Alligator mississippiensis: one gene and its partners. The protein of the gene in region 2 purifies or fractionates together with the protein of the main gene of each other region. This does not show direct contact. Links are inferred from orthologs where the notes say so. Each region holds a gene or a part of one and is shown on either strand. Other genes may lie near its edges. The genes, in order: HMGXB4, C15H17orf49, BPTF and SMARCA1.

The links.
Region 1: the proteins of C15H17orf49 (region 2) and HMGXB4 purify together in Homo sapiens (affinity purification with mass spectrometry; 4 studies listed by BioGRID and IntAct, with this or other methods). This does not show direct contact. The link is inferred for Alligator mississippiensis from reciprocal best matches to the Homo sapiens genes BACC1 and HMGXB4.
Region 3: the proteins of C15H17orf49 (region 2) and BPTF purify together in Homo sapiens (affinity purification with mass spectrometry; 5 studies listed by BioGRID and IntAct, with this or other methods). This does not show direct contact. The link is inferred for Alligator mississippiensis from reciprocal best matches to the Homo sapiens genes BACC1 and BPTF.
Region 4: the proteins of C15H17orf49 (region 2) and SMARCA1 purify together in Homo sapiens (affinity purification with mass spectrometry; 4 studies listed by BioGRID and IntAct, with this or other methods). This does not show direct contact. The link is inferred for Alligator mississippiensis from reciprocal best matches to the Homo sapiens genes BACC1 and SMARCA1.

The regions. Positions count from the first base shown.
Region 1 is NC_081827.1:101,691,203-101,698,785, reverse strand, and holds the start of HMGXB4 (HMG domain-containing protein 4), read left to right. Parts: upstream 1-4,574; 5' UTR 4,575-4,774; intron 4,775-7,535; exon of another isoform or gene 7,536-7,583. UniProt on the Homo sapiens protein: Negatively regulates Wnt/beta-catenin signaling during development.
Region 2 is NC_081838.1:23,752,747-23,760,496, reverse strand, and holds C15H17orf49 (chromatin complexes subunit BAP18), read right to left. Parts: upstream 3,011-7,750; 5' UTR 2,748-3,010; coding exon 2,727-2,747; intron 2,312-2,726; coding exon 2,217-2,311; intron 2,009-2,216; coding exon 1,907-2,008; intron 1,818-1,906; coding exon 1,663-1,817; intron 1,251-1,662; coding exon 1,149-1,250; intron 510-1,148; coding exon 445-509; 3' UTR 296-444; downstream 1-295. UniProt on the Homo sapiens protein: Component of chromatin complexes such as the MLL1/MLL and NURF complexes.
Region 3 is NC_081831.1:6,195,246-6,202,539, reverse strand, and holds the start of BPTF (nucleosome-remodeling factor subunit BPTF), read right to left. Parts: upstream 3,001-7,294; 5' UTR 2,788-3,000; coding exon 2,181-2,787; intron 1-2,180. UniProt on the Homo sapiens protein: Regulatory subunit of the ATP-dependent NURF-1 and NURF-5 ISWI chromatin remodeling complexes, which form ordered nucleosome arrays on chromatin and facilitate access to DNA during DNA-templated processes such as DNA replication, transcription, and repair.
Region 4 is NC_081831.1:68,936,968-68,944,885, forward strand, and holds the start of SMARCA1 (probable global transcription activator SNF2L1), read left to right. Parts: upstream 1-4,914; 5' UTR 4,915-4,956; coding exon 4,957-5,052; intron 5,053-7,918.

The DNA of each region.
Region 1 (7,583 bases), on a different chromosome or scaffold from region 2:
CACCAGCACAGACCTGAGCCAGGGTCCACCTTGAGCTCCCCGCTTGCTGCTGCAGCTGTGGGGGCAGGAGCACAGCCAGAGACCAGCCAGCATGGCCCCCTGAGGCAGAGGAAACAGGAAGGGGTTTATTCCCCACTCTGTCCCCAGGGGGCTGCAGCTGGGGTCTGCCTGCCCTGACTGCTGCTGCTGCAGCTGATCACTCAGTACGTGGGGCGAGCAGCAGGATAAGCTCCCTCCTGCCCCCTTTACCAGAAGGAGGGGGGAAATAACCCCTCTCCCTCCCCCTCACCTAAGGGAGCCATTCTGGCTGGCCTCTAGCCGCACCCCTACCCATGCAGCTAGAGCAGTGAGGGGGGAGCAACTGTGACAGGGGCAGCAGCCCCTCTCATGGGGCCCCGGGAGCAGAAGCCTCTTCCTGCCGGGGAGGCTGCATTGCAGGCAGGACTGGGGCGGTTAGAGCTGTCACAGACTGTGTGAGTGGAAGCTTCAGCTCTGCAGTTTCTGTCAAGCGTGTGCAGCTCTGGTTCCAGCTCCTGCTGCTTTCCACCCACCCACCCCCCGCAGGGCTGCTCATTGCACCAGGCTTCTGCCCAGTGCACAGAGCTCTGGCTCAGAAAGCAGAAAGCGCAACCCAGCCCACAGCTCCAGAGCATGCTGGGATGCTGGGGGGCTCTGGTTTAACTTAAACCAGGAACAAGTCTAGGAAAGAAGTTGCATAAACTGGTTTGACCCAAATCAGTTAAGTCTGATACTACATTCAACCAGGTTTATCGTAAATCAGTTTTGGCCATTTTGAAACTGGCTTATGTGCACTGAACTTATGTTCTATTACAGGTTTAAACAGGTTTCTGATCACTTAAGCCGTTTTATGTGTAACTTCTGTCCCTAGCCCTGGGGTTTAGGAACTCTCAGTTCTATGTTCTGTTGTAAACTATTTGTGTGACCTTGGGCAGGGGCCTCAATGCCAGATTTTTAAAAGTATTCACAATCATAAAGATGTACATGAGCACTTAGTGGGACTTTTCAATAGGAGACAGTCACCTAACCTCAGCTTACGTGCTCATAGATTCATAGATGTTAAGGTTAGAAGGGACCCCAATAGGTCATCGAGTCTGACCCCCTGCCCTGGGCAGGAAAGAGTGCTGGGGTCAGACGACCCCAGCTAGGTGCTTGTCCAGTCTCATATTGAAGACCCCCAAGAGAGCACCACCTCCTTTGGAAGCCCATTCCAGACCAGAAGTGCTTCTGGTCCACTTCCAGATCTGCTGCCAAGAATGCTGGGGAGAGCCCCCCCCATGCTTCTGTGAGACACTCCATGCACCCCAGCATTGCAGGACTCACGAGCCCCTGCTACCTAGAGGTACGTAGAAAAAACATTTAAAGCTGTCTCTATGTCCAAATCACCAAATCTTTTTGAATCGATTCAGAGGGTTCCGATTTGATTGAGAGAGATTAAAGGGTCCTCTGATTCGATTCGGATTCAGAGATTCAGCCACTGAATAGGGCCAAATCTCCGCCAAATCGAATCAGGGACTAAAGCTTCACACAGCCCTACTGCCCAGATCTGTATGCTAATAAAATCCCTGGATAGTCCAAAAGAAGGAAATGCTAGGTTGTTTGAATACAGGATGTAAATTCCTGTGTTCCATGCTAGCTAGCTATCTTCACAGATTGACTCTGAAAAGAGAGATTGACTGAATTTTTTTTTTAGAATAAAGGAATCAAAACTCTTGGAAGAGGTGATATCTTTTATTAGACCAACTAGATATTTGCAAACAAATCATTGTATGTATCTGCAAGCTTTCAGATGAATTTTTAGAATAATTTTTTTTTAGAATAACTTTGTTTAGAATAGTTATCTACTGATGAAAAGTGCCATATAAAAGCTAGGTATTATATTAATATTTTGCAGGGTTAGGAAGAGGTTTGGATGGATATCATCAGGGGAAGTCTGAATGATGTATAGCCTTTTAATGCTTCAATGGCTTTATGTGCAAATTTCATGCTATAGTAACTTGAACAGTAATAAATAAAATGGTTCGCTTCAAGGGAGCTGCTCCTTTCTGTATTTTTGACTGAATAAAAAACATGCACTCCCCTGCACGCCATCACAGACACAGTCTGATACCTCTGAACCGTTAGCTGATGAAATCATTAAACTTCAGGAGACCTAGAATCCTTTTTATACCAGGGAGCAGAATAGGAAACATGCTATCAAGCTACTAGATCTCTTTATAACTTCCTTGCTATCTCTAAACCCTATTCCAAATCAGCCTTCTCATTTTAAAAGCACACTGTTGCCCTCCCTGGTGATGTCACACCTGCCTCCTCCCTATTCATACTCATGCAGTCTCGACCAAGCCTGTCCAATCTGATGTCTGTGAGATGACAGTAAATATTTGTAAAACAAGTCGTATTGCCATGAGGGCTGCAATATCGGTCAGGAGTAATACTTGGTGAAACCATAAAAGCTTTGTGACAAGGCCATCTTTTCATTGTGTGGATATGGTGCCTAGCAGTGGCGTACCAATGTGGGGGGAAATGCCCCTGGGAGATGGCCTGTCAGGGGGGAAGGGGGGTGCAGGCCGGGCCCTTCACAGGGTACTTGGTCCCCTGGTGGCACTTCTGGTGAAACCAGAACTGCTGCTGGTGTTTCCAGGCTTGGAAATCACCCGCCAGGGGACCCCTCCCTCCCCCTGATTGGCAATCAGCTGCAAACAGGGTGGGCACAAATGCAGGCATTGGCCCTCGGACACTGGAGACCCACGGTATGTCACTGGTGCCTAGCAGAATGGGGCACAGACCTGTGACTCCGAGGTCCTCCTACAATACAAACAATAATCTGGCAAAGGCAAGACTGGACTAGCAACATCATGTACTGCTGAATGCCTAGCAAGTTCTAGGTGTGAAATTCAGGCACAGGAGCAGTACTGATGAAATCTTTGCTCCGGTAAGGAATGAATATGGACAACAAGGAAAAAGGCATCTCCCCTCTTTTGGCAGGGACTAGAGGAACAACAGCATTGTAGGGAGAGATCCGTATTGATGGTGGGGGCCAACCTAAGGCATGTAGATTTGTGAGAACGCGTGGAATTAATACCGTTTCAGGCCTTGATCCCACAAATGTTTCATTGGCACTGTTCTGGTAAGTAAACCATGTGCACACTTAGGGGTTGTTATGACAAGCACTGGCACTTGCTGTGTGTTTACACACTGTAGACACTGACAGTGAGGGCTCCGGTCTCCACCAATGCTTGGAAGCCATGGTTCTCAACCTTTTCAGACTCAAGGCACCCCTTGAAAAATGCCGGTTCTTAGCTTTCACTCTTGATTTGACTCTGGAAAGACAACTGAGCAATTCTTCTACTACAAAGTTCTCAGAAAGATCAAGCAGATCCAAACATTTTCAACACCGTGGATTCCTATTTGAAACCTCTGGTCTGAGCTAGCAAATCCCAGGCCCGCACCTAACAGTGCTAACAGTGTGTGGCCCCTGGGGCACCCCAAAAGGATCTCTAGGCACCCCAGGGTGTTGTGGCCCCCCGGTTGAGAATTGCTGCTTGAGGGCCCTATTACGCTGCAGCTGATGATCATTTGGAGTGATCTCTTATTGCACACACTTCATATAGTAATCATAGTAATATTTTATAACAGAATGTATTATATGTAATAATATATAACACAATAATGCAATATATAACACAATATATAATACATGATCTAACATAATAATGCACTATATAACACAATATATAACACGATGCAAGATATAACACAATATATCATATAATATATAATGTAAGGTAATATAATGGTGCAATATATAATATTATATATATGATGCAATATAATATGCAATGAAATATAATGGAATATATGAAATATCTTAACATCATTTAATATAGTATAGTATATTACATTACATTATATTGTACTGTAGTATATATTAACATATTAATTTATTGATATGTCAATATATATCACTTGCATGATCAGTATAGCATTTATCATCATGCCCAATCTATTAATATCATTAATAACATTAGTGTGTTAATCCTGTATAGATATATAAATAGATAGATAGTGCTTCATTTTAATCATGGAAAAATGTCGATTTGGGGTTCCTTTTTTTAAACTGAAAACTCGGGATTTTTTCAAATCAAAGAAAACCAGGATCCTGGAGTATCACCATACCCTGTCGCGGCGCTCTTACCCGGCACTACCCGCGTGCCCGCTTGAGGTGGCGGGGGGCGCGGGCCCTTTAAGCGCGGGGGGCTTCTGGGACTTGTAGTCCAGGCCCCGCTCATGTGACCAAGCGCGGCCGGGCTCGCCCGTCACGTGACGCCCGCTGAACCCTGGGGCAGGATGCGAGGCGAGGTAGGCGGCGGGGGGGAGGGGCCTCAGCTTGTGTTCCCCGCCCTGGGGCGAGGCGAGGCGAGGCGGTGCAGCCGGGGAGGGCAGTCCTTAGGGTTCACCCCGATGTGCGCAGCAGCGGCCGAAGAGCCTCGGCTATCGATGCGCTCGGCGCTCCGCTGCTTCTGCTTGGCCGGCGGAGCCGCGCGGCGTCTCTCCCCGCCCCCCTCCCCCCCTGCAAGATGGCGGCCGCGGGCTGTGGCGGTGGCGGTGGCGAGGCGGGAAGCGGCGGAGCGGAGTGAAGGGAAGCGGCCGCTCGGCCCCCTCCCCACCCCCTCACCCCGGGCCAGGCGGCGGGAGGACCCCAGGGCTGGCTGGAGGCGCGGGGCCGCGGGCCGGAGCGAGGCTGGAGCCCGCCAGGGTGAGAGGCCGCGCGGGGCCGCTTCAAACTGTCGAGACAGGAAAGCAAAGGGAGTGAGACGGGGATGGGCCAGGGCCAGGGCCAGGGCGGGGGGGGTCCGTGGGACACTGGCCTACTGGGTGCACACAGTTAATGTGGGCTTGAGGCCCACAGAGCAGTAGTTACCCCCTCCGCCTCCCCCCCCACACTGTTATTAGGGAGGCTGCTGGGGGGGTGTCGGCTGAACTCTATTAACGAAGGAGAAAACAGGCATGGGAAGCTCAGAGTGTCAAAATAAGTGCACCAAAGGGTGACACCCACTGGCCCTTAAACAAGTGCAGGGAGCCATTGGATACTGCCCAGTGAAACTCTGCCCAGAGACATGAATGGATGGGGGACAGGAAAGCAGCCACGCAGTCCCCAAGGGTTCAGTGGGGCACAGGCCTTTTGATGCGGGACAAAGCCCCCCTTGCTGATGGGGCATGGCACTGATTGCTTGGGACACAAAAAAATATAAAACGGGAATGGGAGTGAAAGCCATAGGTTTGAAACGAGGGCACCAAGGGGGGACATGGAGCAGAGTACACAGTACTATGCCCACCGGCCCCCAGATGGGTCTAGGGAGCCAGTGGGCACTGCCTGGTGAAACCCTGCCTGGGGACATGAGCAGGCCAGGGACAGGAAAACAGCCCTGTTGTCCCCAGGAGTCTGGGACACAGGAAACTGGGCACGGTGGACCTCTGGTCTGACCTAGCTATTGGCAACTCCTATGTTCGTATCTGGCCCTTAAGATTGTAAGCCTACTGTGGGGGAGGGGGCAGGAAGCTGTCATTGTCCTTGTTTCTTATATAGACTGTGGTATTACGTGAATTCTACCTAGGACTTGCCGTATGTGCCATTGGGGTTTCACATGTTTTCATGATGGTGTGACTTAATTTCTGTGCCCAATACTTCTTCCGAGTAGTTGGAGAACAAATCTCTTCACTTTGTGGACTGTAACAAAAACTTCCTACTTACTTGTATGTGTTTGAGGAGGGAAGGGTTTAGAACAGTCATCACCAACCAGTGGATCAAGATCCACCAGTAGATCTCGGAGCCTCTTGGAGTTGATCTGAAGCTGGGGTGGGGGGCTGAGTGCCTGTGTGCGTGCACACACGCGCCCCAGCCCAGCAGCTTAGTCCATGGGGGAGGGAAGGGACAGGGGCTAGATGGAGGCCTGTGTGGTGAGGGACAGTGCGGCAGAGGCAGGAGCAGGGGCAAATTGAGTGGGGCCCCGGCTGGGTGGGACTTACCTGCTGGGGAAGTGTGCCCCCAAATATTTTTTTCTTCCTCTGCCCCATCTGCCCCCCCCCCCCCCCTTCTCTCCCCGGACTTACCTGCTGGGCAGGGAGGGGTGGCAGCAGTGCATGATAGATCTTGGGTTGCTTTTAAATGCCAAAGGTGATCTCCTACTTAAAAAGGTTGGAGACCACTGGTTTAGAACCTGCTAAAGGCTGAACAGATATTTAATGTTTTAATATCAGCCAGTAGTTTATACAGCTTGGAAGTGTGTCCATGTATTTTAATTTATAAATATAGTTATAGAGAGAAATTTCACACAGCATGAAAAGGCAAGTTCTCTCCCCCAAAGAGTTTAAAATGTAACCCTAGTGTGGCATGATGGTTATCTCAGCTAATCAGAATATTGACTGCTCGGTTTCTTATTCATAGTTGAACATTAAAAAAAACACAATAAAATGTTGGCTAGAACAGCTTGGTTTTTTAAATGTTCTATTTCTACCAATAAGTTTGTCTCTGACTGAAGAATACAAGCTGTTTTCTCTTAGAGAATTGTAATACAGCTATTGCATAATGGTAAAATAAACAACCATCTCTTACCTGTACCAGCAACCATATATCAGCATGGCTCAACCTGGAATTCCCTCAGCAGGCAGGGGCTGGGAGTGCTGCAGAGGCCTTAGGAAAAGGGAGTGCTTTCTTCCTTTCTTTCCCCTCTCCCAGGTTGGCACTCAGAAGGGCTCCAGTGATATGGTTTGGGTTAGGGAATGCAGGTCTTTCTGAAGGGTGTACATCTTCACCCAAAAAACCTCTAGTCAATGTAACAGAACTGAAATCTGCTCATTGCATACAATCTAGCCCCCAGTTGGGTTCTTCTCTGTCTACCCAAATACAGGAGTTTAGAATTTCTCTTAAAGCAACCCACTCTTACAATAACTGCTGACAGTTAACAGTTTTGTCATCATCTCTGTTTTCAGTTTGTGTGTCATTATGAAAACCAGTGCAAGCCTTCTGACTATACCTTTTTCATTTTGTTAAAATACATGTTTTCATCAGCTTGATATTTTGAAGTGGAAGGGGGTTCTTTTTAACTCTATTATTAACACCCCCCAAATAATATAAGTTATCTAGAGCAAAGCATACCAAGCTTTAAGCATGATTATGAGCTCACAAGGAAGCACACTTTCCCCTTCCCAACTTTCTTCTAGTGAATTGCCGTGCAGTTCCATACGAGCGGTTTCCTCTTTGCCATTATGATTCTACTTAAGATTCTACATTATTTTCATTCTCTGTTTCTTAGACCTTTTTCTTTAGATGGGAACAGGGGAAGGAGCCCAGATGTGGGAACACATTCTCAGGCTCCTGCAAGACCACCAGGGCTTATGATGGCTCCAAGAAGAAAGAAGGTATGACTGCTTCATAATCTGAGAGAGTTGCCACAGCCTTTGCCGGCCTATGTAGTCAGAGTGGGAAAAGAAGCCAGTCTGCTAAACCCTAAGGCATCAGGCTGGGTTTCCACAGCGTTCCAAGCCTGTTCTGGCCTCAGGAAGTG
Region 2 (7,750 bases):
CTCATTACCTATGGGCAAACCCACCAATGGCAGATGACGCAGGCTGCCTACGCCATTGTGCTCAGCCCTCATTAGCTTTGCAAATGCACTCATTAGTTATGCAAATGCCACCCAGAGACCATGTGACTCTTAATTGCTATGTGGAAACCTTGTCAACTATTCCTGATGCCGGCCCTTGCCCCTTCCCTGACCCACCCCATTGCCACCCCCCCCCCCCCCAGCCACCCCTGGGCTTGCATTGCCGGGTCCCTCCCCACCAGCTCCCAGAAGGGAAACTGAGGCACACAGGAGGCGGTAGAGGGGAAGGCCCTTTATTCACTGTCACACTCCGCCCCAAGCCCCCTACCCTCAAAACAAGTGATGGGGCTGGGGGGTGGGATGGACACCCCCAGTGTCCTGCCCCCTCAAGCTCAGGGTGGTGTCCGGTGGTCTGGCTGGCCAGGGTCAGCGCGACAGCAGGGGCAGGTCACCAGTGGTCATGAGCAGCCCAGGGTCCAAGGTCAGGCTGTCTGGGAGAGGAGAGAGAGCAGAGAGAGGCTGAAAGGGGGGGGAGGAGAGGCAGAGCCTAAAGCAGGAGGGGGTGGGGCCTAAACCTGGGAGGTTGGGACTAAGACACTGGGGTGGGGCCAGGACTGGAGTGGGTGGGGCCTAGAGAAGGAAAGGACAGGGAGGCTGAAAAGGGGGTGGGGCCTGCTGAAGGGGCTGGGGCTCATAGAGCAAAGTTGTGGAGCCTGGAGAAATAGGGTCAGGGCAAGAGGGTGGAGTCTCCAAAGCCAAGGGAAAGTCTCAAGGAAAGGGGGGTGGGGCTGAGAAGGTAGAGGTGGGGCCTATGCAGACTGGGGCAGAGCCTGGACTGGGGCAGAGGCTGGGACCTATATGGCCTGGGGGTGGGTGGAGCCTGGAGGAAGAGGGGAGGAGCTGAAGAGTAGGGGGGGGTTAATCTCAAGGACTGGGGGCGGGGCCTGGTGAAAGGGGGCGGGGCCTGGGGATGCAGGGAGCAAAGGACCACCCCCAAGCAGCCAGGCCCCCCATCATGTACAGCCCCCCCAGCTCTCCTCTACTGGAGCCCCCCCACCATCTGCTGGGGATCCAGGCTGATCCTGAGGCCTCCCCGCACCCCACCAGCGGCCCCCCCGGCTCCTCCTTACCCTGGTCGAAGTTGAGCTTTTTAGGGGGCGGTGCATCGAGTCCCTCGATGTCAACCAGGTCGCTGCTGGCATCCGCATCGTTCAGGGCGCTCAGCGTCACGTCTAGGGGAGCAGCATGGGTGGGGGGCCCCCGAAAACCCCTGCCACTTCCTCCCCTGCACACAGCCCCCTGTTCCGGCCCGGGGGAGCCCAATACCGAATGGGGGGGGGGTTTCAAACCCCATCTTGCAACCCAGGGGGACCCCAGGATGGGAAGGAGGTCTCAGTACCTCTCACTCAGCTGGGGGGGATCCCAAAATTCAATGGGGCATCTCAACCCCTGCTGCAGCCTGGGGTGACCCCAAGACTGAACGGGGGGTCTCAGCCTCCATCCAGCTGCTCAGGGACACCTCAAGGTTGAATGGGGGGGGGTCTCAAGCCCCTCCCACAGCCCAGGGGAGCCCCAGGATTGAATGGGGGGGTCACAATCCCCTGCCTGGGGGGACCCCAGGATTGGGGGGGCTTCACAGCTCACCTGAGGCCTTCTGCTTCTTGGCAGGGGGGGCGTCAGGGGCAGGGGGCACCCCACTGTGCCCCCCCTTCTTGGGCCCCTTTTTGGGGGAGTCAGCTGGCAGCGGCACCCCGCTGTCCTCGTAGGCTTTGCGCTTGGCTGTAGCCTTGATTTGGGCCCTGGGGGGGCGAGAGGGTGGGGCCACGGTGAGCTGGGGCGGGGGTTGAGGGGTGTGGGGCTCCCCTCCAGCCCCCGCCCCCGCCCTTACACCGTGCGCTCCTTGATGACGGCGCTGAGCCGGTTGAGGTCGTCGCCGAAGCGCGTCACGGCCGCCCGCAGCATCTCGATCTCGCTCTCTGTCCACTTGGCCCTGGGGGGCGCGGGGTGTCAGGGGGCCCCCAGCCCGGAGCCCCCAGCCCATAAACGCTCCCCAGTGGCCCCCCCGATCCGAAACCCCCTCTTGGCAGCCCCCGAGACCCAACCCCCCTGCAGCAGGGCTTAGGGGGCAACTGGGGGTGTTTGGGGGGCAGGTGTAGGGGGAAGGTGGTGGGGTGTGGGAGGCAGGGGGCGGGGCTTACCCCGCGGGGGAAGAATCGGCCACAGGGTGCAGCTGCATGGTGAGCTCCCCCAGCTTGGTGAAGGCAGCACCGGCGGCTGAGAAGATCTCCCCGACCTGTGGGGGGGCGTGGGGGGCTGAGGGCAGTGCTCTGACCCCTTGACCTCACCTGCCATGACCTCTGACCCTGCTGCTCCCCCAGCTCCAGTCCCTGGGGGCAACCCTATCCCACCCCTGAGCCCCCCTACAACGTAGTAGGTACTCTTAATTCCCCCCCCACAAATGGGGCGGGCTTCTCAACCCTGGCGGGGGGGTCCCTCCACCCTGGGCCCCGCCCCCCTGTAGAGCCCCCCCCGAGCTGCCCCCAAAGCCCCTCCCCCTCCATGGGGGGCCCCAGTGGTCCCTCCCCTATGACCCCCTCCACCCCTTTTAGGGGTTCCCTGGACCCCAGGCCCCTCCCCCACCCAACTCGCTGCCCCTCCCCCACTGCAGGCCCCACACCCCATCCTGGCCCCGCCCCCCATGACCCCACCTTGGTGCTGGCGGAAGTCATAGCCCCCAGCCGCCGCCCCGGCCGCCGCCCTGGCACGACCGGAAGTGGGGCGCTCTGGCCCCCGTCGGCCGCCGGCGTCTCGATGGTGCGGCCGCTCCGTTCCCCCCCGGACCACCTGGTGCCTCGGTGGTGTTGGCGGACGCTCTAGCCGCCCGGATCCTCCAGCGCCTTGGTGGTGCGGGGGTGGGTGAAGCGCTCTAGCAGCGCGTCTCGGTGGTCCCTGCAGACGCTCCCGCCGGAGTCGCCTACGTCTCTATGGTGATTGGGAGCTCCAGGTTCTCGGCGGTAATGGCGGGCGCTCTAGGCGGTGTGGAGGACCACCCACTCGCTGGCTTTAACTCTTTCCTACCCCTCCCGCCTGGAGCCGTAGACCGGCGCCCTCTAATGCCCCCCCATCTACCCACAATGCACCTGGAAAAGCCCTTGGGGAGCCCATAGAGCCACTGCTCCCCACCCATAAAGCCAACCCCCCCTCCCATGGAGCCCACCCATCTACCCACCATGCACCTGGGGAAGCCCTTGAGGGACCCCCCCCCCCCCCCATAGAGGAAACCCCCAGCCCCTCCCTAATATACAGCCAGCCCCCCCAATAGAGCCCACCCCCTACCCACAATGCACCTGGGAAAGCCCTGGGGACCACCCCGCTACCCCCATCCATGGCCACTCCCCTCCACCAAGCCACCCCCTCCCATCAGGCGAAGTGCCGGAAGACTGGAAGGTGGCCCATGCAGTGAAGGGGAGGAGAGTAGATCCAGGGAACTACAGGCCGGTCAGCCTGACCTCCATCCCAGGGAAGGTCTTAGAGAAGATTATCAAAGAGGCCATTCTTAACAGACCGGCGGATGGCAACACCCTGAGGGGTAGCCACACGGGCTTGTTGCAGGTAGGTCTTGCCTGACCAATTTCATTTCCTTCTACGACCAGGTGACCGGTCACCTGGACAAGGGAGAGGAGATGGATGTCGTATATCTTGACTTGAGCCTTCAGTCTGGCATCTCGTGATCACCTCTTGGCAAAATTGGCTGACTGTGGCCCCGGCCTCACCGTGATCCACTGGCTCCGTGGTCGGACCCAGAGGGTGGTGGTTGGCAGAAGTCAATCATCGTGGTGCCCTGTGACCAGTGGGGTCCCTCAGGGCTCTCTTGGGCCCATATTGTTCAACATTTTCATTAACTATGTGGCCATTGGAGTCAGAAGCGGACTGGCCAAGTTCGCCGATGACACCAAACTCTGGGGCAAAGCATCCACGCCGGAGGACAGGAGGGCGATCCAGGCTGACCTGGACAGGCTCAGGAAATGGGCGGACAAGAACCTGATGGTGTTTAACACCGAAAAATGCAAGGTTCTCCACCTTGGGAAGAAAAACCTGCAGCATCCTTATAGGCTCGGCAGTGCTACACTGGCTAGCAGTACAGGTGAAAGAGACTTGAGGTCATCACTGACCACAAGGTGAACATGAGCCTTCAATGTGATGCTGCTGGTAAAGCGAGCAAAACGCTGGCTTGCATCCATAGATGCTTCTCAAGCAAATCCCAGGACGTCATTCTCCCCTTGTACTCGGCCCTAGTGAGGCCGCAGCTGAAGTACTGCGTCCAGTTTTGGGCTCCACAATTCAAAAAGGATGTGGAGAAGCTTGAGAGAGTGCAGAGAAGAGCCACACGTATGATCAGAGGTCAGGAAAACAGACCTTACGACAACAGGCTGAGAGCTATGCGGCTCTTCAGCTTGGAAAAGTGCAGGCTCAGGGGTGATCTGGTGGCCACTTATAAGTTTATCAGGGGTGACCACCAGGATCTGGGGGAACGTCTGTTCACCAGAGCGCCCCAAGGGATGACAAGGTCGAATGGTCACAAACTCCTCCATGACCGTTTCAGGCTGGACATAAGGAAGAACTTCTTTATTGTCTGAGCCCCTAAGGTCTGGAACAGCCTGCTGCCGGAGGTGGTTCAAGCACTTCATTGAACACCTTCAAGAGAAATTTCAATGTTTAGCTTGCTGGGATCCTATGACCCCAGCTGACTTCCTGCCCTGGGGCAGGAGGGCTGGACTTGATGATCTTCCCAGGTCCCTTCCAGCCCTAATGTCTATGAAATCTCCCCCCCATATAGAGCCATCCCCCACTCCCCCCTATAGACCCACTCTGCCCCACCCCCAGGCCCTCCCAGCTCTACCCCGTTCATTGCACAGGACAAAACCTTCAGGGTGGGGGACAGACACATGGGGGGGCACCAGCCCGGAGCAGGTTCCCTGTGGCTCAGAACCCCCACGTGGGGTAGCAACGTGCTAGATGCCCCCAATACCAGGTAACCCCTCATCCCCTTCCTGCCTGTCCAAGGAGCTAGGGATGCTCCCAGCAAGGGGTCCCCGTTACCCAGAGCCCCACCCCCCAGCTGCTGGGGGGGGTAGAAGCAAAGGATCATGGTCCAGGGGGGTCATAAAGAAGTGGTGGCGGCTGGTCCCGGACCTGGCAGGGGCCTCGTGGTGGCATGGAGAAGCTGCCCAGCATCACATGCAGCTTGGCCGGGAAGCAGCAGTTGCTGGCCTGTGCGATTTTGGGGGGGGTCAGTCCTGACACTCAGAGGACTCCCCCCACAACCTTCCACCTGCAACCAGGACTCCCAGGATCAGGCCCAGATTGGGGCCCTTGGAGGAGAAACACCCCCCACCCCCCTCCAGCCAGGGACTCACCCTGCTTCTCTGTCTCAGCCCCTGGTCTGCTGGGTCAGCTCACTCCCTCCTCCAGGGTACCTCTGGCCCTGGCTCTCCCACCTCCAGGCTTGTTAGGAAATGGGGTTCGGGACCAGCGCATAAAGGACTGACACAGCAATTCAATGCATGAATGACAAAGGCTTTATTTACTGCAACTCATCACTGGTAAATGAGCCTAAAGCAAAGCCAAGTCCAGTCTGTTTAGCTGTGAAAATGATAGTACCTCACCAGGGTCTTGGTCTTGTCAGCTTCTCCAAGGCGTGGATCCGTGCACCAGGAGATTGACCGATTGCAGGAGCAGATCTCGCATCCTGAACTGTGCGTGGTAGCTGCTCCGTTCCTTTTTGGTACCCTGCAGCTGGGCATCTTCAAAGCCTTCTTGTAGCTGTGCAAATAAAGAGGGAGCCCAAGCAATAAGTCGCAGGAAGATCCTGTTAATCAAACTGCTCATTATTGGTTATCAGCAGCGATCCAGGTTTTGCATTCATGCTAAAACACAATTTTTCTCATTTTAAGGAGAAACGCAAGGATTTTTCTTCTTTAAAGGAGAAAATGCGGGAAATGGGTTTCCCTATGTGGGCTGGCAGTGGCAGCCTGCGGGGGGCTAGGGGGAGCGGAAGGAGGGAGCTCAGGCAGGGGTGCAGTGTGTGTGAGTGCGCACACATGCATGTGGCAGCCTGGAGAGCAGCTCCCTCAGGTAACTCGGTGGGGGGGAGGGGGCAGAGATTGAGTCCCCCATAGGGAGGGAGTCAGGTAGGGCTGGGGCTGCTGCTCATCCCAGGGGCTGTGTGGGGTCCAGGGCTATGTGTGGCCACAGGCCTGGCGGGGAGTGGGATGGGGCTCACAGTGGCAAGGAGCTTCCCTGCCCGGTCCCACTCTGCACTGCCATGCCGGGACCTGCCTGCTGGGCAACGGGAACCCCAGGGAGGGCAGCAGGGCTGGGAGCCCGAGTCTGCAGTGGCTGCCTGCGGAGCCCATGCGGGGGGGCAGGGGGCTGCAGGCCCGGGTAGCCCTGGCAGTTGGGGGCAACTGGCAGGGCTGCGGGCTGGGGGGGGTTAAGAGGCAACAGCAGGGGCCGGGCTGCTCAGCACCACAAAGCACGCGGGGGGGCTGTAGGTGGACCCGCGTCTAGGGGAGCGCAGGGGGAGCTTGTATTTCCATGATAAACCCCTCCCCAATCAAATTAAAAATGTATCGGTATTTAGAATTTATTTCATTATAGTGACTGAGGCACCAGCGAACTTCCAGGTTGCTTTAAAATTGTAAATATATCAGTAAAATGCTGTGTTCAACTGATACCTGGACATATAGTGGCCTTTCATTGTAGTCAGGGAAAAACACAGATGTTGGGGGTTTTAATCAGAGAATTTGTCATTTTTAAACAGAGAAATCCAGGATCCCTGAATCATTATCTATCAATTATTTATTTACTGTGCATTTTTATAATTATTTATTCTTTATCAAAGGTTATTTATTTTTTATTATTATTTAGTTGTATTTACCATTTATTTTTTATTGTTTTTATAGTTTATTTGTATGTGTTACTATTATTTACTTACCATTTATTTACTGTTTTTATCATTTATTCATTCTCTATCAACTAGTATTTACCCACTGTTATATATCATGTATTTATTTATTATCTGTTAACATCATTTACTTCTTTTGTTTTTATTATTAAAACATTTGTTTTATTACTGAAGTGGAAACAACAACATTTGCTTTTTGATGAGACAAGCCTGGAGAACATTTTATTTTATACTTAAGGTACCTGGAAATTATGTTTGCTTTGCTTGTATTTTTTTCATTAGTTCATTTGTTTATTATTATTATTGTTATTAGCGTTATCATGATAATCATTATCCTCATCATCATTGATGATTTGATTTTGGTTGGTCATATTTTAATTAATTTTAATTTAATTGACTTTTTAAATGAATTTTTTAGTAGCTGAAACCCGCAAACCATTTGCAATTGCATTTTTATTGCAACAGTATCTCTTTAAACACAGGATTTTTAGTTATCCTTTGACCGAATACATTAACAGGATCAAAACCTCTCTCCTTCGAAAAGGCTTCATAAAGCTGCCCATATGTAAAGACAGGTGTAGGAGTATCTTTTATTACAGGATTATAATAAAGTGCCCCTGGCCCTGCTCCTGCCCCTCACTCCCCCCCCCACCGCCTCAACCCCCTGGAAGCCTGGATTTTATCTAAATCTAGATAAAGTAAAATGCAGTTGGTTAAATTAAATGCAGTGAAATGAATTAAATGATGGAGGGGTGCAGGTTGTAG
Region 3 (7,294 bases), on a different chromosome or scaffold from region 2:
GAGCAGATATGCTGAACTACAGGAAGACCCTCTATCATCCGATTCATATGCAGGCCCCTCAGCAGAAGATGGATAGTTGCTTAGGAGCAAATAACACCATAGCAGTTGTTCCTACAGTAAATGAATCTACTAATTGTCAAGCTTTACATCAAAACTAAATTGATATTTCTGAGTTATTGGGGGTTTTTTTAATTTCCTACAGAGACAATAATTTGCGTAGCAAGTGTTCTAACAGCCACATAAGTGGGATGTGATTTTAAGTATCCAGATTTGGCTAGTGAGAAGGGTTTGTTCTACACACTTGGTCTGCAAGGCACAGGTTAGCAACACTCATTTTTCTCACCACTATTCTGGCAAAGTGCTTCAACTGCAAATAGGAAACCCAACCTACAAGGTGGAGATGGCTCACATGCCACACCAAAATTATTTTCAGGATTTGGATAAAACCAATCTGCCATCTCGAAGCAGTACTGCTTGTGACACAGGTAGGTATCTGTTTAGCAGGAACTGGACACACTTGTAGCTAACCAAGCTGAAAATTTGTAGTGTCATTTGCAAAAGACATTTTCTTCACTTGCCTCTTTTCTGAAGGTAACGATTTTTTTTTTAATTTTTTTTTTTTTAAAGAAAAAAGAAAGAAACAACTGTTAAAGTAACTTAACAAAAAGCCTTCCAGCATGCAGCTGAACTAATAGCAGACAAGTTACAAGACAGACAGAAGTTCTTGCCACTGCTTGGCCACTCTGTTATAAAGGGCTGCTCAGGCTGTAAAAATTTCAGATTACTAAAGGTTAACATGGTAACTGAAATTTTAACATGATTAAATAAAAACATATTTATAGGAGTTTTTATCAAACATACTAATTTAACATAGGCACTTAAATGCCACCAACGTAACTTGAATAAATACTTGTCCTTTGTCAAAACACCTAACCCACCTAACTCAAGCACTTCTCCCCATCCCAATCCCTAAACTTCATATTTTCTTAGGTCCATGCGGTTTTTTCCCCTAACCCTAGCCAGTGAAGTCAGGGCAAAAATACTTCCCTAGACCAAAGAGAAGAGATTGGTTTCTCCCTATTACCTACCATAACTAAAGAAAAGAGCAGCTTACAGCGGTAGTGGCATCTAACTTGACGCCAGTTCCTCTTTAAAGCAAGAACTACGGGAAGGAAATCAAACTGATCACAGTACTATTCCTGCAACAGGTGAACTACAATGCTTCCTGCAACAGACTATAAACCCTTTGTGATCACATTTTTTACCCAATTCACAATAAAAAAAAAACACACCAAAAAGCAAAACCATAATTCGTACAAAACTACACAGAATTAAAAATAAAAATTGATTGGTGGTGTTTTTTTTTTTTATAAGTTTAGTGAAGCCACGTGATGGCATCTGTTGCCTGCACCCACTAAACCCACCAGGAATTAAAACAAACAGTGCGTTTTAGTAACCTGTGCCTCCTTCCCCAAACGCTCCACAAAGCGTATACGGTGTCATACATTCACAGAAGCGGCCAATCTCCCCACTACACCTCGCTGGCAAATTGGTCGAATGCTACCGTACCCGTTTCTGCTGCCCGTGTCCCAACCGGCTCACTAAAACGCACAGCTGGATCGGCGCTGAACCCAAGTGCTGCGAGCTAGAGCTGCGAACCGAAACCCCCTCAACTGACAAAACCCAATCGAGCGAGAGTTCAAGTTTCAAGCACGCGAGGGTCTTATCGAGGTCCGCAGCAGGGGTAAAAAAACAAAACAAAACCCTCATGTTTTAAATGAAAGCAGTAGCAACTCCAAGCACCCAAAAAAAGCTCTGAGGGTTATAAAAAAAAAAAAACCCTAATTTTTTTAATGAAAGCATTGTCATGTCCAAGTAGTGGAAGAGGCTCCCACAAACACGCCGCGCTTTTACAAGCCTGGTCCCGGCTTTGCGGCGGCCTCACCTGGGGAAGTTAGGGGGCGAGTTTCGCGCAGGGGCCCCCTCCCCAAAGTGCGGCGAGGCAACCTCCATCTTGGACAATACTTGGGCAGGGGATGGAGGGGAGCGAAGGGGCCGGAGCCGGGAGAGGATGCTCCGCCCGCACCTGTGCCCTGCCTCCAGCCCCCGCGATTTGCATGTCTCCCCCCCCCCGGCGGGCGGCGAGGAGCGGGACCCTCCCTCGTCCCCGTCCCCGCTACCTGGGGTGCTGCTGTAGGTGCTGTGGCTCCTGAAGCTGCTCTCGGTGCAGTAGCTGGCATCGTCCTCGTCCTCCATCTCCTCAGGGTAGTCGGAGTCGTCGTCGTCCTCGTCCTCGTCCTCCTCCATGATCTCCTCCTCGTCGCCGTCGTCCTCGGACCCCGGGTGCTCCTCGGGGTCGCCCTCCTCCTCGTCCTCCTCGGACCCCGCGCTCTCCTCCTCCTCCTCCTCGCTCTCGTGGTCATCGTACACCACTTTGCTGGCGCTCCTGCGGGACGAGGCAGCCCGGCCTCCTCCGCCGCCGCCTCCTCCTCCTCCTCCCGCCGCCGCCTGCGCCGCCGCCCTGCCCCTGCCCCGGCTCGGGGGGCCGCCGCCGCCTGCGCCGCCGCCCGCCTTCCTCTTGCTGCCCCCGCGGGGGCACGGAGAGGCCTGGGCCGCCCCCCTCGGCCTGGGCGCCGCCGCCGCCGCCTCCGCCTGGGCCGCGGCCGCCCACCGGCCCCGGCTGCTGCCGCGCTGCCGCGAGCGCAGCCCGCCGATGGGGCCGGCCGGAGCCGGGGAGCTCGCCTGAGCCTGCTGCTGCTTGGGCGGCCTGCCGCGCCGGCCCCGCATCGCTGGGCGCTGGCCGAGGGGGGAAGGGAAGGCGAGGCAAGGGCGGGGCGGGGCGGCGGGCGCCCCGGCGGGCGGGCGCGGGGCAGTGGCCCCCACCCCCGCGAGGGCTGCGGGCCGGGGAGAGCGGCGGCCGCCGGGCGGCGCGGGCCGCACGGGCTCAATCCGAATCGCCGGCGCCCCGCTCCGGATCGCCGCCGGCCGCCATCTTGTTCCTTCGTCTCTGCCTCGGCTCGCTCCGCTCTGACTGGGCGGCAGCAGGCCCCGAGCGCCCCACGTGACCGCCGCCGCCCGCCCGCCCCGCCCCGCGCCGCCAGGGGGCGCCGCCGCCGCGCGGGCCCGGACACAGCGCCGCCCCCCGCGCTCACCTGGGCCCTGGGGCAGCGGGGAAGGGGCGGCTGCCCCGCGCGCGCGGGGGGGCGAGGGGGTCTCTGCTGCTGCTGCGAGCGGCGCCGGGTCATTGAAGGGCGACATCCAGCTGCAGCATCCGGCAGACCTGGGCCACTCTCTCCTTCTGGACACTTTATTAAAGTGCAACATCCAGCTGCAGCATCAGACCGGGCCACTCTCCCCTTCTGGGCACGCTGCACACCTCCCCATTGCAGGGCACTGTCCAGCTACAGCAGCAGACCTAGGCCGCTCTCCCCTTTTGAACAGGTTGAACAGCACTTCCTTCAAGTGCAACATCCAGCTGTAGCGTCACACAGACCTAGGCCACGCTCCTTCTGGACGGGCGAGCACCACTTTATTAAAATGCAACATCCAGCTGCAGCATCAGACCTAGGCCACGCTCCTTTTGGAAAGGTTGAACAGCACTTTATCCAGCTGTAGCATCACACAGACCTAGGCCACGCTCCCTTTGGACAGGCTGAGCAGCACTTTATTAAAATGCAACATCCAGCTGTTGCATCAGACCCAGGTCACTCCATTTATTAAACTCCAACATCCAGCTGCAGCATCAGACTGGGCCACTCTCCTGGACAGGCTGAACACCTCCCCATTACAGTGCAGTGTCCAGCTGCAGCATCAGACCTAGGTCACTCTCCTCTTTTGAACAGGTTGAACAGCAATTCATTAAAGTGCAACATCCAGCTGTAGCATCAGACAGACCTAGGCCACTTTCCCTCTGGACAGGCTGAGCACCGCTTTATTAAAATGCAACATCCAGCTGTAGCATCAGACAGACCTAGGCCACTTTCCCTCTGGATAGGCTGAGCACTGCTTTATTAAAATGCAACATCCAGCTGTAGCATCAGACAGACCTAGGCCACTTTCCCTCTGGACAGGCTGAGCACCGCTTTATTAAAATGCAACATCCAGCTGTAGCATCAGACCCAGGTCACTCAATTTATTAAACTCCAACATCCAGCTGCAGCATCAGACCTAGGCCACTCTCCTTTTGGACAGGTTGAACAGCATTTTAAGTGCAACATCCAGTGGCAGTGTCAGACCTAGATCACTCTCCTTTTGGACAGGCTGAGCAGCACTTTATTAAAATGCAACATCCAGCTGTTGCATCAGACCCAGGTCACTCTCCTTTTGGACAGGTTGAACAGCACTTTTAAGTGGAAGATCCAGCTGCAGCATCAGACGGACCTAGGCCACTCCTTTTGGACAGGCTAAACACTTTATTAAAGTGCAACATCCAGCTGTAGTATCAGACCTAGGTCACTCTCTACTTTTGGACAAGCTGAACAATTTATTAAAGTCCAACATCCAGCTGTAGCATCGGACCTCGGTCACTCTCCTTGTGACAGGCTGAACACCTCCCCATTACAGTGCAGTGTCCAGCTGCAGCATCAGACCTAGGTCACTCTCCTCTTTTGAACAGGTTGAACAGCAATTCATTAAAGTGCAACATCCAGCTGCAGCATCAAGCAGACCTAGGCCACTCTCTCCTTCTGGACAGAGTGAACAACACTTCATTAAAGTGCAACAGCCAGATGTAGCATCAAGCAGACCTAGGTCACTCTCCTTCTGGGGGGGGCTGAACAATTTATTAAAGTCCAACATCCAGTTGTAGCATCAAAGCTAGGCCACTCTCCTTCTGGACAGGCTGAACACCTCCATGCAGTTACTGCACAGCCTGGGCATCTATCCTTGCTCCACAGTTGTTACAGATATATCAGCAGTGCTTAGCTAGCCTCCCATTCTTATTTTTGCTCGTCTTTTAATCTCTTTTTAAAATGTGCCTTTTTAATGTTGCTAAATCCGAGAGTAGTTAGGGAGAGAAATCTGCACAGCACCAAGCATGCAGCAGCTCTTCAATGAGGGCACTCAAGTCGCACTCCTGTATCCAATGAGGACTGGTAGTAGAGATGATCTTTTATTAAACCAATAAGATTTTTGCAAAAAAATTATTTACTTGCAGGCTTTCAGGCACAAACACCCTTCATCGGCATTGGAGAAAAGATTGTAAAAGTTGTCCTGTGTAGAAATGAAAGACTCCCATATCCATTTTTTTTCTTCTTTCATCTTTTAGATTAATTTGTACTCTTTGCAGGCACCCAGGGGTGCATGCAGAGCCATGTTAAGCACAGTACAACTCAGCTACCGCCATAGCAGCAAGCAAAATGTTACATCCCATTTGCAATCTGTATCTTCTAGAACTCCTTCCAAACTCATCTGCTTTTGTCCTGTGTGCGCCTGCATGTGCACTCAACTATGAGAAAAGCATGTAGTCTACTTCAGAGGTGTGTGCATACAACTAGGAGCCAAGACATGAGTTTCAATCTTGCATATGCCACTGATCTTTCTCCATGTTCTTTCTTAAGAGGTAGGAAAAAAACCCTAGACTTTTGCTCAAATAGAATTAGTGTTTGATAAAATAATACAGTGGTTATTTATTAAAGACCCTGGAACCAAAACTTATCCACTTTGTGTTTAACAATAGCCTCCAAAGTCAGTATTAGGCTTGCAAACATTTAGTATAAACAGGGCCCTTTACGGTTTTGAGGCTAAAACCAGCTGATTTGTCTTAAATTTGTTCCCAGGTCAAACCTGAAATGCAAAGCAAAATGAGGGGGCATAAAAACTGGGTGAACTGAAGTCAGAAAAGCAAGTGTGCCTGAACCTTTGATACAAACTATTTTCTGTTCTGTTGCTCGTGCTAGAACTGCAGAGAGATTATGGCACATTACACCTAACTTCCTCACTTTGGAGCATCTTGCTAGAAATAACTAATTATCAAAGAAAATATAGATACCAGGATGAGCGGTATTCTCACCTAGCAAACAGAACATATTCAAAGTTATATGGCCTTCCTCTCAGCACAGAGATTTGCTGAAGAACATTTGTTTTGCTTAGTAAAAGAATTCTGTTGTACCAAGCATGAAAATTATTTAATGCAAAACAAGTTTGTTGGGCTGGATGTTCATTTTTCCTTTCTGGTTTGATAAAAGCAGAAAGGGAGAGAGAGTAGTGAATAGGATAGGCTTATACTGGGGCTATATTAAAGCAACCACCCGAGGGCTATATTGGGAACCCTTGCTGCTGGAATTGCATGGATTACATCATAATCTATGGCATCAGAAAATTCTCTTATGGTTATGAAGAAAAGCTCAAAAATGTTATGCAAGTGTCTACAAACAATTCCAGCTATTATCAACACTTAGCTGCTCCTAACTTCCCCCTTCACTTTAACAATTGTTAACATCAAGACCTATTATTCAGCCAACATCAGATTCTTCTGAATTTTCTCCTCCTGGGGTGATAATCTTACCTGGCAATTTGTTTAAACCGGGGTCGGGCAATTATTTCGGGCGGAGAGCTGCTTACTGAGTTTTGGCAAGCCATCGAGGACCGCATGACAGGCACCCGGGGCAAATAAATATTAATTTTCTACATTTTTAGGGGCCCTGGTTTAAAATGTAGTGGGAAAACAAGTCTTGGACTAAGCTGTACGCCCACTGGAGAAGGGAGTTCCTAGTATACTTAAATTACGCATTTCCTTGTTGTCCTGCCAAAGCTTCTTTCCAAATTATATCATAACTTTCATGCATATGTTGGCTTTTAACTTATGTATGCAAATGTCATTTAAATATCGTTTCTGTTGCACATATTTAAACAAGCATACTCAAGTATGCTTTTACTTTGGATGCAGTAGACAAAGTGTGAGACCCATGGAACTTTAACTGAGATTTTATTATCGATATAAATACTAACATCTTGGCTAATATTTTGGACAACATTAAGATAAAGAAAACAAGTGTAATACGTACTGCTTCATAAGATTTATTGCTTTAAGCCGCTCTAACAATGGAACACTGCTCACAGTGCATTAAAAAAAAGTGAAAGAGATCAGACATTTCAGCAGAGCATGGACATAGTCAAGGGATACTTTAAGCCCCTAACAAGGACAGACAACTTAAAATTTGCTGTTAAAAAAGGTCCAATATAAGAACAGTTTAAATAGGAATAAACATATCTACAAATAAAACTATACAAATTTACACTTTTCTCTTGGGACCAATTCTTAATAGAATTACCATTCAATTTTGACCTAGACTGA
Region 4 (7,918 bases), on a different chromosome or scaffold from region 2:
ATACAGTGGGCTCTGTTTAAGTGTGGTTTCAGGGCTGAAAAAAACTATGTACTTACCTGAATTAAACATAAACAATGCTCATGGCTGTGCCGTGCTATCTTCCATTTCGGGGCCTCTTAGCTCTCATCATTTTCAAGGTTTCTAATAGCAAGTTTCAGGGAGACAGCTAGACAATTTCATGGCTGCTCCTGTCATTTCCAAGGTTTCTAGTGGCAGCCTCTGACAGCTGCTTCCCCATCAGCGTTTCTGGTACTGTGACACAGAGTACAATTAGTTCCAACGTAGACAGTTGCAGTTCATATGCAGTTAACTGGAATATAGTTATGCAGCAGATAGTGGGACTGGAAAATGCTAGGCTGTAAACAACAAATTGGATCTGGCATTGTTTTATGCACTTAAACAAATATTGCACTCCTCTAGTTCATTGCAATATACTGCAAATAGTTACACTCGTATCCCTTGTAAATTTGTCTTCATTTCCTCCCCTCTGGAGTCAGTGGTTGGTTGATGGTACCACCATTATTTATTTCTTTTTGTCTGCTTTTAGATGACTGGCTGGCTGAAATGAGCTAGGGTTATTGTTAAACTGGAGATTTAGAAAGAAGCTGGTGGGCGTAATAGTTTCCTTCTTTTCAGGCGAAATGAAGAACAACTACATGTTCAGCAATAGCTGAAACAAGAGGAACCACTACCCAAAACATGCAGGACATGTTCCTAAGCAGCTTCTTTCTGTGTGGTTGGAAGAACATTGCTGTGGGTTCAGTATAAATACCGGGGCAGTGAACTGACTTGCGAATGCCAGGTGTGTGCCTATATGTGTGCAGTCAGAGAAGGGGCAGAAACACTGCAGGAGCCACTCCAGCAGACTGGAAAGGAAACCCTGGAGAAGCCTTGCTAAGTGTGACCTCTGAGAAATCCTAGAGAAAACGTACTGGACAGAATAGTGACTGAAAGAGGCTTGGAATATGAGCAAGGAAACTATCTTTTATGTTCAGGGAAACAAGACTTCATAAATGCCTTCTTAACAGAATTGCTTCAGAGAGACCTTTTCACATCACTAATTTGTCCTAACCAAAACAATCTCCAATAATCTGAGAATGCTTTAATCACCATAGTTTAAAGAAGCATATTCACAGAAACAGTAGGATACTAGGGAAGAGATTCAAGCAAGTAGTACCTGGATGCCCCTTGTCCATATCAAATCTGTAGTGATCTCATAGCTTCACAAGAAACAGCAAACTATTTCCATAGCAGTACATCTTCCACGGAGTATTTCATAGGCTTCCTGGGGTTATACTGATTTTCACTTTTTTCCTGCAATTCTATTTGAGGTACTTCATTTTTGATCTAGTGAGCTGTTCATGGTTCAGAACCTGCATGCTTTTTCATGTCCTGTCATAGCTTGACTTCATAGCTACAGCACTTGAAGTCCTTAGCTTAGTTCAAATAGGTGTTGGGTCCAGATCAGTCAATGGAAGAGCTCCTGAATCTGGAATTTGCTTACCCCTTATTTACTGACCTTCAGGACACAATGCAAAGCATCTCTTTTCAAAGGAAATATGTGAGAGATCTTACAGGGACAGAGGGATTGATGGGTTAACAGATATTCACAGTGTTTAAGCAGTATGATGCACACAACAGTTTATGTGCACACAAGAACCTCTGTTCTATCCTTCAGTCCTGTCCCCTGCTGCCCTGTGCTTTAAAATCTAAAGTTATGTTAGACACAACAATAGAAAAGACTGAGAAGAGCCCAAGAATTCCAGGCAGGCCTCTGCTCCCACTTCTGATGCCTATGTCTGGCAGCAGATGAAAACTGAACTTCCCTTTACCCTGACTATATTAAGTCTGTTCTAATAAATACAAAGTGGATAATCCGTTATTTAAAGATTGACTCTTACTTCCCAATTTGCTGTGCAAACTCTGGGTGGCTTTCCTGTATAATCCACTGTGCTATATGCTGGCATAAATTAGTTTGCCCCTTCTTTTTGGGACTAAGAACTCTCAGGAACCAGGAAATTATTTGAAAACAACTTGTAATCACTTTTTAGCGTAACATGACTCATTCATCTGGTTATTTAAATATGCTGTTCTTTATATTCAGAATATTTCAATTATTATATGGTTGCACTTAGAATGTTTGCATTATATAGATAAGCAATAAGAAATAAGCAATCTTTTCAACAAGTGTACTAAATTAAAACAGAGCTGAAATATTCAATACCTGTACAAAAACAGCTGTAAGGTGGTCTACAAACCTAAACTAGAAGCCTTTTCCCCATCTTGTTGAAACCAAGTTGTACAACAAGCAGCTTTGATACTTTACTAGGAATCCTGTATAAAAGACCTAGGAGGAAGATCATAGCCTGACAATGCTATCTAGTGGCAAATAGCAGAAATGCTGCTCCTTGGCAGTCTTTATCAGCAATGTCTGCTAGTAAACAGCCTATTTTTGGTACAAGTTGACCCAGACCAGTGCTTGTATTTCTAGGTGCCTGTTTAGAAAGGTGTTGAATGCCCCTACCCCTACTTGTATACTTAGAAGAAAGATGCAGAACTCAGCACTACCTCAGATCTGATGTCTTAGAGCAGTGGTTTTCAACCTTTTTTTGTACCAGGACCAATTTTTAAACATTAATGGCCGGTCCTGACCCAGTGCCCCACACCCCCGAACTGCTGCCCCCGCCCCCAGGCCCCAGCTCCGCAATGTGTTGGGTAGGGGTGTGTGTGTGTGGCAGGGGGGATCCCCAAGCAGCCCCTTGGAGGCTGGAACTCTGTTACTGTACAAGGGAAAAGCCACAGTTTCCCACATTTTTCTCCTTTAAAGGAGAATCCATTTTTAAAGTTTGCTTGTGACCCTTTCATATATTCTTGTGACCCACTTTTGGGTCATGACCCATGGGTTGAAAAAGATGTCTTATAGTATATGTAGTGGAATTAGGTGCCTAACCTGGGTGCCTACATTTTGGAAAAAGATGGCTGCAACTGACTAGCCATTGTCATTTTCCTGGCTTTTAATAGTTCATTTAATGCCAGTTGGTAGAAGCCTTGAAAACGAAGGGACAGCACAGTCTTGGCATTTCAAGACTTTTAACAGCAGCCTGACAATTGTTTCCCACTTTCCCCTTTTTAGGTGCCAATTAGTATGCTGTTAAATGGAGTACAGTTACATTACCAAATAGATTGCTTATGCCACAGCACATTGGGAGTGGCATGGTGCTCTGCAGTTAATCAGATTATACATGTATTGGATATATGCGTACAAGTGAAGCACATTGTACACGCTATATACTACCAGAGGTAATATGAATAAAGACATATGCAATGCCATACATCAGTGTTCAGATTCATCCAGAGGTTCATATAGGGGACTGGGTTTTTTACCACTGCATTGCTGCTGTACAGAGACATCCCTAGTGATATGCGGGGCCTGGGCATATCAGCCTGTGCGGGGCCCGGGTAGTGGGGCAAGTGGCTGGAGCCGGCAGTGCTTGGCGGCAGCAGCGGCAGAGTCGGCAGCGCTCAAGAGTGGCGCTGCATGCCGGCTGCAGTGGGACCTCTATGCCACTGACCATGGGGCCCCCCAAAGTGCGGGGCCCAGGGTGGTTGCCCCAATTTGTCTCCACCCTAGGGACGTCTCTGTTTCTGTACCTCGACGGTGGAAGGTTTTCTCAAGCTTCATATCTAACTGCTTCTGGCAGTAGAGGTCTTGGGCAGGTCATTCCTATAAAGAAGGTTTAAGGTAAGGTGAGCTCATTCAGCTGCACCTAGATGTCAGTTTTTGAGGGAGAAGCTTGAAGGAGAACCAGTTTGTGACGGACTAAGGAAGATGGAAGGTAGTAGAGGGTAGCTGGGAAGATCAGTCCTCTGAAGGCTCAATCACATGCCTGGGATTTGCTAGGCTCAATGACCGTGCAGGCAGTGGGTATGCTAGATCGCCCTAAGGGAAGTCGTAAGGCTGAGCTCAGATTGAGCCCTGGACTGTCTGCCGTGGACCCTGCCTTTCCTAAGGTACTCAGGGGCATCTTATACGGAGGATCCAGCTTGAGCCTTTGGGATGGGAATGGGAATCCTTGTTGCCAGCTGTGAGGAAATGCGCACTATGACCTGGACACCTGTGTAGCTACTACCCGGCTCTTTCTGGCATAGCCAGCCCTCGGTCTGGGACTGCTGGAGACCTCCTGGGATAAACCTCGCCCTTTGAGGGAGGTGGATGTGCTGGCATGAGGGCAGGTGTGCACCTTTTATACAGGGGGTTGCCAATGTTTTTGGCCAAAGTGCTGAAAAAACTGCACCGTCTACCTCGCCAGAAAAACAAAACTGGGGCGGTGCATACATGGCAGGACGTGCTGCATATTAACATAATCATCATACATGGTTTTTTTTTTTATAGTAAATACCAGGGATTAAAAAAAATTCTAAACCTGGTGACAATAAATAAAACTTCATATATTGCCTTTGTATAAAACTTCATATTCTGCCTTCATCTATCTATCTATCTATCTATCTATCTATCTATCTATCTAAATAGATATATTGATATATTGATATATTAATGGGTTAACATATACATATATGAGGGCAGCTCATACAGATATGGATATCCATACATCTATAGATACAGGTCTATCTATAGACTGATCTTTATACACAACCGCAGCTCCGCTTCGCCCCCAGGTCGCAGCTCCTCCCCCACCCGCCTTTGCCCCGCCCCTCCCGGCTCCCAGCAACAGCTGGCAAACATCGGACTGACTTCAGCAGTCGCACTGCGCATGCTCCGCCTCCCCGCGCATGCTCTCGGCGAGCGGACGGACTTTTTCTGGCGCTCGTTCCCCCCGTCGCGCGTCGAAATCTCGCGATGGATGCGAGGAGCGGGAGACGGAGGGGGCGAGGGCGGGGCCGTGCGGTGTTTTGGGGGGTGGGGGGGAGGGGAAGGCGGCAGCTCAGCGCTGCGCCATGGACAGCGGCCCCGACAGCCCCGGCCGCTCGGATGACGAGGTGCCCTCCACCTCCGCCGCCGCCGCCTCCGCGCAGGAGCCCGGCGTCGAGGAGGTGCGCGGGGACCGTTCGTGGGGGCGGGTGGCGCGGGCGGGGCTACGTCACCCTCGGAGCGCGCGAGGCACCAACGGCCGCTCCCCCCCCTTCCCCCGGTGTCACCGCTGCGCGCCAAGGGCGGGGGGCGCTCCTGGAGCTGCGCGCGCAGCGCCCGGGGGCGGGCAGGCGGGCGCCCTTGACCTCTTGTGCAGGGGCCTTCCCGCGCGGGGTGTCCTGGGCCGCCCTCGGCTGGTGTCAGAGCAGCCGAGGGGGAGGCTGAGCCCCAGGGTCCCAGCCTAGCTGGGTGTCCTTGAACTTCAGCCTTTTCCTGCCAGGCGGAGCTGGAAGATGCTGAATTACCCACCCCCAGTGCCACACGCTTGGTGTGTCCAGCAAGGCCCCAGGCGGCAGGAGCACTCTCTTCCTGGCCCTCTGGGTCGTGATGCCCGGGGGCTTGGGCCTGGCTGTGCGAGCCCCGTGCCGAAAAGCACCCGGGCTGTCCTTGGCACGCGCCAATTAAAAGCTCGGAGGAGGTCCCGACTCACTGAAGCAGCGGCGGTTTTGCTCCCAGCCGTTGCCTGGGATGGAGATGCCCAACCCGCTGGTGTAAATGTGGAGCAGGCCTCTGCTGTCTAGCCCCGCGCCAGCACAAGTGGCTCGCTGCAGGGTAACGTTACCCCGCGGAGCTGAGGTTACACCTGCCAAGTGTATTTTTGGGTTTAGCGCTACTCCCTCTCCTCCCGGGGTAGCCCCAGGCTCCGCTGCTACCTGGCAGCAATGAGCTTGAATAGTCCCTACTCCAGGCACCTCCTTCTGCAGGGCTAATTTCTCTCTGCACCAGACCCTAGTATAACCATCTGTCGGTGTACAGACAGACCTGGGAAACGGGTGTAAATGCAGGTGGTATATTGACAGCCTTTGTTGTTGATGTGACTCTTTCACTGTAGGACCTACCAATTGCAGTTTCCCACTAGAACGACATCCTTCCCTCGGCCTGAGGCTAACAAGTTTGCCATCTCTGGTTTAGTAAAGATAGACAGGGAAAGTGTTGTTGATCTCTGTAATCTCTTAAGCCAGTGGGAAACAACCTTTTTGACAGACCTGCCACACATCAGTTCCACAACCACCCTGAGAGCCGCTCCGCTCCCACTCCCATTCCCCTCCCTGATCTGCTGCTCTGCTTTCTGCACCTGCCCTGTCTACTGCTGTGCTATCCCCTCCCCAGCATGGTGCGGGCCTAACGCGGAGGCTGCCTGAGCCACTTGTGCTGCAGGTTGGCTGCTCTTGCCTTAAGCTATATCATTTAAGTTATGAAACATTTGGACAAACCTATATATCATGAAATGCTTAGACTACCTGAGGACTCCCAGTATATTCTCAAGAGGCATAGCTGACAAAACGAAATGCCCCTAATGTAGAGTCAGCTGATTAAGTTCTGTGAACAAAATAATCTATGTCAGCAAAAACATCTCTGTTAGGGGTTTTTTCATGTATAGATGTGTCTAAAACCAAAATTGCATCACTTAACTGCCTTGTTATACTGACAAGTATTTCTAGCGAAGATCTGATCTAAGCAAAAAAGTATATTCTACGTAGTTGAATAAAAGTTCACGTGTAACTGACTGGTGTACAAGGAAGTATCTGTATCCCTATAATCTAGATCTGCAAATAAAATAAAAATTCATATATCTTGTAATATTACCCAGACGTAAGGATAAGTGTGAGCACACTTTAGCTGTCCACCTGCCTTTTGACTGCTGCTTTCCCTTCCTTGTTTCTGGTACAGTTGAAGGGAATACAGATGGCTATAAAGGAGACCGTTACAGCTACTATGAAATTAGCCAGAGTACAATCACAGTCAAAAGTTTAGGTAAAACATGCTATACATTTAAGCAGATCATGCACTGAACTCATATGCAGATAACCAGCAATATTTAACAAGCAATAGGCAGTGAATTGGGACTGACCTTGTGCTATTCAACTAAACAAATTTATATGCATACATAGTAAGGGGAGTATTCCCTATACCCGTGTCGGGCAGTTATTTTGGGTGGAGGGCTGCTTACTGAGTTTTGACAAGTCATTGAGGGCCGCATGACAGGCAGCCAGGGGTAGATAAATATTAATTTTCTAAATTTTTTAGGGGCCCCACGGACTGGATAGAATAGCCTGGTGGGCTGCATCTGGCCCACGGGCTGTATTTTGCCCACCCCTGCCCTATTCCATGTCTGCTATAAATGGAACTTTCAGCTCTTGTTTTGTGATTTTTTTCCTTCATGAGGCAAAGGAGCTGTTCATTAGGGGTGTGCGAAATTGGCTGTATTTGATTCAGATTAGGCCCAAATCGGGGACAGTGATTCGATTAATTGATTTGGATCACTGTCCGGATTCGATTTTGCCGAATCAGAATCTGAAGATTCGATGCTGATTCGAAGAATCGGCAATTCAGCCACAGACACAGCTTTAAATGTTTTTTTACATACCTCGAGGTACCAGGTGCGGCTTGTGAATGCTGCAGTGGTGGAGTGGATGGAGTGTCCCACAGGAGTGCAGGGGGGCCCCCCACGTGCTTGGCAGTGAATCTGGAAGTGGACCGGAAGTACTTCTAGGTCCGCTGGGGAGTGCGCTGGGGGTCCCCTGTACACCCCCCAGCTCAGTGATCAGCTGTGGGGGGGGACCTTGGGTGCCCCCCCAGACCCAGGAGGCACCAGGCGCTGAGCTGGGGGGGCGTGTGGGGGCCCGCCAGTGTGCTCCCTGGCAGACCCGAAAGTGTACTGGAAGTGCTTCTTGTTCACTTCTGGGTCTGCTGCCAATCATGCCGGGGAGCCCCCCACACTCCATGTGCCCCAGCATCTCAGCATTCACGAGCTTCCTGATACCTTGA